Solanum lycopersicum: one gene and its partner. The protein of the gene in region 1 binds, or shares a complex with, the protein of each later gene. Links are inferred from orthologs where the notes say so. Each region holds a gene or a part of one and is shown in the gene's direction. Other genes may lie near its edges.

What was found.
Region 2: zinc finger CCCH domain-containing protein 16 (region 1) and nuclear pore complex protein NUP54 share a complex: the UniProt entries of both Arabidopsis thaliana proteins name them as parts of the nuclear pore complex. The link is inferred for Solanum lycopersicum from reciprocal best matches to the Arabidopsis thaliana genes AT1G75340 and AT1G24310.

What each region holds. Positions count from the first base shown.
Region 1 is NC_090811.1:3,099,982-3,104,548, reverse strand, and holds the start of zinc finger CCCH domain-containing protein 16, read left to right. Parts: upstream 1-1,757; 5' UTR 1,758-1,846; coding exon 1,847-1,890; intron 1,891-3,136; coding exon 3,137-3,341; intron 3,342-4,567. Other genes in the region: pyruvate dehydrogenase E1 component subunit alpha-3, chloroplastic, read right to left, coding at 238-501.
Region 2 is NC_090811.1:44,743,206-44,747,770, reverse strand, and holds the start of nuclear pore complex protein NUP54, read left to right. Parts: upstream 1-1,691; 5' UTR 1,692-1,942; coding exon 1,943-2,374; intron 2,375-3,180; coding exon 3,181-3,234; intron 3,235-3,519; coding exon 3,520-3,579; intron 3,580-3,687; coding exon 3,688-3,798; intron 3,799-4,565.

The sequences.
Region 1 (4,567 bases):
AATTCACACCAAAATTGTAATGCTAAATCGTCATACTTTTGGTACAACGAAATATAAGCACTTAATCAACAGAAATCCAGTTCAAAACACCAATGATTTAAACAAGCATAACCCAATTGCAAAAGACCAAAACAAACATCAATTGTGATTTCTTCCCATCTGCACACAAGCTGGCCTGAACAACACAATTATCAAAAATAAACATTTTTTAAGAAGAAAGTAAAAAAATGCAAGTACCAGATTGGAGAGTGGTGAGTCTGTTTTGAGCTTCTTGTTCTTAGCAACCTCAGAAACAGCATAAACACCAATAGATCTGCTTTTCGAGTTCTGAGACGAAAAGGGTTTCTTCATATAGAGTTTCTTAGCTGATCCAAGAAAAAAGGAGCTATCTTTAAGCTGATTTCCCAAAAGGGTCTTCTTGTTGTTGTTGTCAATGGATCTGGTGGAGTTGATGGGCTGCGAAAAACTGTTAGCAGTAAAAGAAGAGGCTGATGCAGCCATGATTACAGAGAAAAATTTGATGGATTTTATGGGATTGTTAAAGAAGATAAAGTTCGATATATAAAGGAAGCAGTGAACGGAGAAAACAAGAATGGGGAAATGTAAGCAAATTGTTGGATTAACCGTCAAAAGAACTCAAAAGGGGGAACTATTAAGGGCCACCCTCTCGATATCGTTTCGTGTTTGATATTTATATTAAAATTTAATTTATTAAAACTTACGAATAATTACGTAAAATTCATTAGGAGAAAATGTTTTTAAAATTGAGATTTTCGATTAATTAGGGTTTTAAATATAAAAAAATGACAGTTTTTATATAATTTGCATTTTATCGATTCATATTTAATAACTAACTGATTGAATTCTCTTTTTATTCTCATTGAACGTGTCAATTAAATTTATTGTAAGATTCATAATGATTAATTTTACAAAGATTTTCTCTTATGCTTTTGCACTCGAGGGTTAATTTTTGTTTGATTTGAGTAAATCTTTGTAGGTCTCTATTATCTTTTTGAGATGTTTATAATTCATAAAATACTTTGATCTGAAATTGTCTCTTGATCGATGCTATTAATTTTTTTTCTAAAATTTAGCGTCTAATCAAAATAAAAACATTTAAAACAAATTAAATTGAGTATAAGCTATAATATTTAAAATATTACCAAATTTTAAATTTTGTTCTTGTAACATCTCTAATCTATCTAAGCAAATTTAACCTTTAATTTTATTCTTGTACTGTCTCTCATGTATCTAAGCAAATTTTAACCTTTAATTAATTGATGATATGCATAGATTTTAGCCCTCTGTTTATAAATCTCTACAATTTTTAACAAATTATATATCACTACAATTATTTGACTATTTTATCTTATGTCAAGTGTGCATTGTTTTCTGCATATGAGGGTAATTTAGGTATAATATATATAATAGACAAAAAAGAAACTCATATATTAGTTGTAACTATAAATTGAATATCATTCTACATGGAACTAAAAACAATACTCATTAGCCTCTAAAAAATTACAATTAAAAATAGAAAAACCATCGAGATTTTTTAATTTTTTTCAAATTTTGAGTTTGAGTTTTGTAAAAAACTTTAATTTTTAATATGAAACTTTTTTTTGCATAGATTGAGATTTAATCGGACTTCAATACAGAGTAAGAGGCGAGAATTTTATTTTTTTTTTAAAAAAAAAAGACTCGCCCCCGTCTCACCCCCCAACCCCCCCCCCTCACACCCACACCCACCTCCTTCTTTTTTAAGTATTTTTTTTTATAAATAGACCCAAGATTTTGAAGCTACAAGTCAAGAAAAAAAGAAGCAGCAAAAAAAGGACTTAACGCTATGCCTCCAAGGAAAGAACCCTGCAGAAATTTTATGCGTGGCAGGTAAAAATAACTAAAAAATTGGTTTTAATTTCAATCTATATACTTTATTATGCATATATTCATAGGATTCTTGATTAACCCTTGAAACTTTCATGTCAAAGATTCAATTTTTATTTAGTATTATTCTTTTGCTAATCGATATAAAGGTGTAGAGTTGAGTAAAAATAGTTTCTTTGAGCATTTTATTGGGTGGGGATGGGGGTGAAGTTGTTTAGGATTGATGGGAAGTTGGTTGATTGATTGTTGTACTTAATATTTATTATAATGGTTGAAATATCCCAGCTAAGTAAAGTTATGAGCTTTAGCATCAAAGGGTGTTGTAGATGGTTAATGAAGTGGGTTGTAAATCATGATGTCGCTAGTTTAAATCCCAATGTAGGTAGAAACACTTGGTGATTTCTTAAAATTTGTCCAGGTCTGGTGGATAGAGTTATCTGGTATGGCCGGGGTGGGGGATGAATTTAGAAAATTCATATTGCCTTAGTGGTTTAGGATTGATGGGAAGTTGGTTGCTTGATTGTTGTATTCAATCTTTATGGTAATGGTTGAAAGATCTTAGCTAAGTAAAGTCATGAGCTTTAGGGTCAAAGGGTGTGGCCGGTGGATAATAAAGAGGGTTGAGAATCATGATGTCTCATGTTCAAATCCTAGCAAAGGAATAAATATTACTCCCTCCGTTTCAATTTGTTTTTCTTATGATGTCTCATGTTCAAGTCCTAGCAAAGGAATAAATATTACTCCCTCCGTTTCAATTTGTTTTTCTTACTTTTCTTGTTATTTTGTTTCAAAAAGAATGTCTCTTTCCTTTTTCTGGGAACTCATCAAGAATGAATGTTAAGCATGCCTCTTATTTACATTAGTGTGGGATAACAGGGACCTACCAAAAGGTTAAATGAAGGGGGGACAGATCCCCGGTTGAACCTTTTTTATTTTTTCATATATCTGGATATATAAAGCTAGGTTGGGAAGTGAACTCGCGGGAGGTAGGGGGTTGTGTTTCCTTTTCAAATTACATAATATTGACCTAAGATCGAATAATAATTGGTATGATATTCCATCTAGAACTTAGAAAGGTGGTGTTTTTGCTGTGATGTCTTAGAAAGTAAAAATGATGTCTTTAACTTGAAACATAAAAATTCTTAATTTAATTAGTAGTTCTTTATGAGAGTTGAGTAATCCTTGTTATGAATAGGTTCCTTTGTTTGAGTATGAAAAATAGGATCTGATTGTTGTCTTATTCATCCAGCTGTCAATATGGTGAACGTTGTAAATTTCTTCATGCTGCCCAACAACAACCGAAGCCAAATCCATTTGGATTTGGCAGTCAATCCACTAATTTTCAGAGTACAAATATGCAGCAGACAAAGTCCAACCCTTTTGGTTTTGGTGTTCAGAGCAACTCCCAGCCAAGAGGTTCTAGTGATTTGGGGCTCAAACAGAATCAATACAAGGTACTTTAGCTGTTACTCTCTAATTATAGCTGTTTGCTGCAGATTATTTAGCATTTATTATATTTATTATAAATAATATGCTTCCTCAGTACCATTTTTGAGGAGTCCTCTCTCCATATTTTCAATTTTACCTGCTAATACATGCCAAGCGATAATGGCTCTCTAGATATTTTAATCCTAGACACTAGAATTCATATCATTCTTTATCTTCATGTCTCAACAAGTGTTAACATGTTGTAAGTGCTCAATGGTATTATCTTAAGAGTTGAAGAAACGGTGGTGAGTCATAAAGATAAAGAATTGGAAGTAAGAAATTTAGAAATGTCCCATGGGTATGGCCTAGTCCCCAATGAAGTGGGTTGAGAACCATGAGGTCTCATGTTCAAAGCCCAACGAAGCCATCCTACTCCAAAAAATTGAAACGTCACCTGTAGATCTTGACGTCACCCACTCTAGTCCCAAAATACTGAAGAACATCTGCCAAACTTAAAATCAGACTGAACAGTGTAATAATAGAGGATTCATTTGTTCCAGAATTCTCTCAACTCATGTAGCATCTATTACTTAGATAAAAGCCACTTCTTTGCAAGTTGTTTTCGCTAAGGCAAGCTTCTTCCTCCGTTTCTTTTTTTGAAATGGTAACACAAACTTCTTTGTTCAACAACCATACAAAACACGTAACCAAGTGGGGGCTTTTGATTTCCAAACTTATTTCCTATGAACCTTCAGAATTACAAGGGTTTGTCCTGTTAGAACATTGTAACAAGACTTCAAAGTGAACTTCCCATTCATATTTCCTTTCCGTTCCAATCTGCCATTGCTGCTATTTAAGCCTTGAAAGTTATATGAACCATTGAAAATTCAGTCATGTCAGGCCTTACATTTTCTTAAATATGTGTTAATAAGAATGTAGCTGTTGTGGGGTTTACATATAGAGAAGGAACAGGATTTTGGTTGACAACATACGAGTCCTTCTCGTTAATTGAAAAAGAAGTTTCAATAGCAAGACTGCTACGAAATTTTATATGCTATCTGAAGTTTCATCTTTACAAGGCCATCTTTTAATTTCAGCGAACAAAATAATGGCACTGATGCTTTCTTCATACTAAAAAGTCACATGAATCTTAAGGAAAGGTTGATAAAGGGAAACATATGGAGTTAAATATTTTATAATAAGTTTGTGGAGTCCAATACTTACTGTTTTGTATTTGTGGTTATTAAAATTT
Region 2 (4,565 bases), about 42 Mb from region 1:
CCTAACTAGAGAGAAAGTTAAAAGATCATCTAAGGGAATGAATTTACGACTTAGGACAAGTCATCATGGCGGTAACTGTATCTAGCAGACTGGAGATCCCAAGAGCTAGATTCAAGGAGAAAACAAAGTTGTGAATGAAGGTTCGGCATTGTCAATAAACTCAATTCATTCTCATGATGAAGACAATGCTCATGGACAAGGATACAATATTAAGGCTTGTTAATGAGTTAATAAAGCTTAATGGTTTTAATGATTTGCTATGTTTGGCAGAGTTGACCAAATAATGTATCTACGCGATAACACGGTTAGAAATCACCTATGTGAGTAGTGAAGTGTAAGCCGCTTCAAAGAAGATGATTATCAAAAGTCCATCTCTCTATACACTTATGAAACCAGGAGGTGTTCATGGCTAAAACGAACACAACCGTAAGAACCATAAATGGTAAAGGGTTAATTGTGTGGCATATGATTTTCTAGGTATACACCAAAGTTCGACGGTTCAAGATATCGCATCTGACCGAGTATATCCGACATATGTTCACTACGGAAAGTCCAAGGGGAAACCTACTTATCCAGATGCAATTAATTCTTGCTTGTAAAGTACACATACTTGTCCGTTTCTTTGTCTTCGAGTCATTCCCCATTCATGCGGCGGATTGTTGGATTTTGAAAAGGTGTGAATGGAAAATGAAGAGTTGCGACTTTTATGAAGAGTTGTGGCTTTTATGAAATGTTGCGACTTTTATGAAAAGTTGCGACTTTTATGAAATGTTGCGACTTTTATGAAAAGTTGTGACTTTTATGAAAGGTGACGACCTTTCTGAAAGATTGTGACTTTTCCAAAGGTTTGTGACCTTTCCGGTAAGGCACAATAAGAACCTTTTCGCACTACCCTTTGTTTTCTATAAATTGAGGGATTTTCTCTCATTTTAATATAGAATTCATGGACTTCTTCTTCAACTACTAAATCTAGTATTCTAAGTGTACTTTATTGCCGTTGAGTGGTTCGATGACACCGGAGTTTTTGGTATCTATACTTTGGTGATTGAGATCATTTTACCCTGGGAGGTCATATTCCAAATCAAACCTAGGATACTAGAGGGGAATAATTTCCTTAAGGGGACATTATGAATTCAGTGGACTTGATCTTTTTCCTATTAAAATTTTTCCAGATTCTGGTATGTGTTTTACAAACTTTAGATTTGTGAATTAATTTCAGTTCTTCTATTCTTTTGTTCTTCACTGGTTCATTAAATTTGGTAACTTCGTGTTTCTGCAAAGTTTGTTGGAATCAGTAAGATTCTTTAGACACATATTAACAACAATTCTTCTTTAAAAAAATTATTTCGTATATTTTTTTTAAATAATTTATTTCTGATTTTAGTTTCGCTACTAGTTTTAATTTTCTAGCAAAGATGTTCAAAGTTTCGTTCTAAGTATGTTTAGAATACAAGATGAACAACAATGTTAATATATAATTAAGTGAATTATGAAATTTGAGTTTATACCGTATAATTTAGTGAAATTTGATTCTTCAAGGTAGATTCTAAAGGCATAATATATAAATACGATTCTTAATTTGACTGTGCACAAGTTGACTCTTTCACTTATATAACATTAAATAAATAGATATGTGTATCCTACGTGATATAATACACATATAACATTTGGACGCAAGACATCACTTTGCTATAAATAGTGAATTAAATTATCTTAAATATATCAATCAAACAAATCTAAATTTTATACCACAACTATTTTCTATCCCACAATTTTTGTACTTATTCCCACGCCAAATGAGTCCTAAATCTTAATTAATTATTGAGGACTAACAAAGAATCCCGATTCCAAAAGAAAATGGCGGCAAATGCGTTGAAATTCATAGTTACTTCCTAAGCCAACCTAGGGTTTGTCCTTTCTCACCATCTCCACCACTGCAACAATGTTCGGAGCTCAGCCCTCCTCCGCCTTCGGCACTCCATCATTCGGCACACCTTCGTCAACCCCAGCATTCGGCACACCTGCGTCAACCCCAGCATTCGGCACACCTTCGTCGACCCCAGCATTCGGCACACCTTCATCAACCCCAGCATTCGGCACGCCGTCAACTTCATCATTTGGCACTGGTTTTGGATCGACACTATTTTCAACACCATTTTCACAGCAATCACAGCCACATCAACAGCAACAAACTTCCTTATTTCAAACACCTCAGAGTTCGTCCCCTTTCAGCTTTTCCACACCCTTGAATACTGCAACACTGGCCCAATCCAGTCCATTTGGTACTTCCTTTCCATTTGCAAATGCCCAGTTGACTACTCAGATGGCTCCCGTGGCTCCACTCCCCTTTTCTCTCGCTGATAGGGATATCCAAGTAATTTCTCTACTCTCAAATCTTTGTGCACATCACGATTCTAAGTATATTTGTTTATGTGCACAACAACTTCATCAAGCCATGGCTACCGGACCTGACTGGGTGAGGGTGGATCTTTTTCTTTGGGAAGATGCTTCATTTGAAAAAAAAAATATGAAAGGAGATAATAGACTAATTTAATTTACGTATATGAATAACACAAATATCTGATGAAGGGAGCTTAGCTGGATTGGACAATTGCTAACAGTGTAAAGCACTTTTAGTAATTAATCAAGTCACGTCAGGCTTCCTCTGCTGATTGAAGAAAGCCTCATATGGCTTCAAATAAGCAAGAAACACTCTTTCTATCTTATTCATAACATTACTGAGAAAAATTGGTGGATGCTAGAATCATTAAATGTTTGCAGAAACAATTAAAATTCTCTAATCTCTACCAGACACTAGAAATTAAAATATTATCTGAACTCTTAAACTCCTGATTTTAGACGTAAAAATAGGCAACTCTGGACCTTTTCTTCAAATCGTCTTAAAAAGTATTTCAATCTTGATAATAAGGAAGACCTGGGAGTAGTTTTTTTGAAAGAATAGTGGAGCCACCACCAAGGAGCTGTCCTTAACTGTGGCTATCCGAGGGTTGGTAGTGCGGGTCTTCTTAAAACAAATCCTCCTTTAGTTAGAATGTCTTTCCTTTGGATAGCAGGTTACTTACCATTTTATTCAGGTGATCAATCAATCCTTATTTATGGGGTGACTACTACAACTTGAACTCGTTTCCTTATAGTTGTCTGTTTTCACATCTGTATCAGGCAATTGTTGATGCGTACAAGGAGGAGCCTGGTAACCGTAAATATGCTTTCAAGGTTTGATCTCTTTTCCTACTAGGCTAGGTCATATTGAAGAGGTGAGTGAATCAAATGAAAAATCTAAGATAAACAATCGTATATTGTCACTTGTGAAGCAGTCACTGAATTGCTTATCTATTTTATTCGAGTCATTCACTAGCATTGTGAAGATATTTATGAACTCTGTTTTTGTTATGATATGTCAGTTGTTAATAGATTATGGTTGGAGGGTTTCCATCTTTTGGATGTGTATAGAGGCGCTTACATCCTTCTCATTTATTTGCACTTATGGTTGTTTTGCAGCATCTTTTGTCCAGTGTGACGGAACCTCAATATAGGACGAAACCTGCAGGGGTATCTGATGTGAGTTTGATATGTTTAAAATTTTTATTTCAGTGTAGGCATTCTGGTTTCATTGCTTGTTTCTTGCTGAGAGTTATGTAAATGCAATGAATTAGTTTGCATTGCCAGATAATGTGGGCAGAGGCAATGGGCAAACTTGAAGGCATGGAGAGTACTGACCGTGAGCGCCTGTGGCCTCAACTTGTACACGGCTTCAAGGATCTTTCCCAACGGCTCAAGGTACCTTGATATTAATCACTTAGGAATGTCTTTGGTATGATAGAAAGTGATTTGGAGGGATATGTATTCCTTAAGGTGAATGTTTTCAGTATTCTAGAACTGCAAAATCTGGAAAATGTTTTTCTTAAGAAAAATTATTCACGCTTTGATTTGCTTTTTTTTTTTTTTTGGCTATGATTTGCTTGAGCGTCTTTTGGAAACAACCTCTCTACCCCGAAGAGGAGTGATATGGTCTGTTACACTCTACCCTTCCCAGACCCAACTTAGTGGGATTTTTTTTTTGGTAATTTGAATTTTATTTATCACCAAAGTAGATAATTACAAAGCTAAACCAGTCCTACTTATAAACTGGTTATCTCAATATCTGCAGTCTGCTTACAATCTTAGAGACTTAAAAGCTACATCTATCTATTAAATAAAAGCCTGTCTCAGACAGTAGCTCTAACACAACAAACACAAGCTACTCTTCAAGCAATATCCTCTATTTTAGTCTCCGTCCTCTAAAAAACTCTATTGTTCCTGTCCTTCTAGATGACATGGATAAATTCTGTTTATACTAGTTGTAGTAGCTGGGCTTGGTGGCTTTTCCCTTTGATCTTCTGGATGATCTGCTGTGGCATTCCAAGTGGTGCTTGGAGGTTGACTGATAGTTGTCCATTGGAGTACTCTCCTCCATTAGGAGTTGGCAAATGCACACTCAAAAAATAAGTGATCTCTTGTTTCATCTTCCTGCTTAGACAGAACACTTTAGGATCTACTTGCATTCT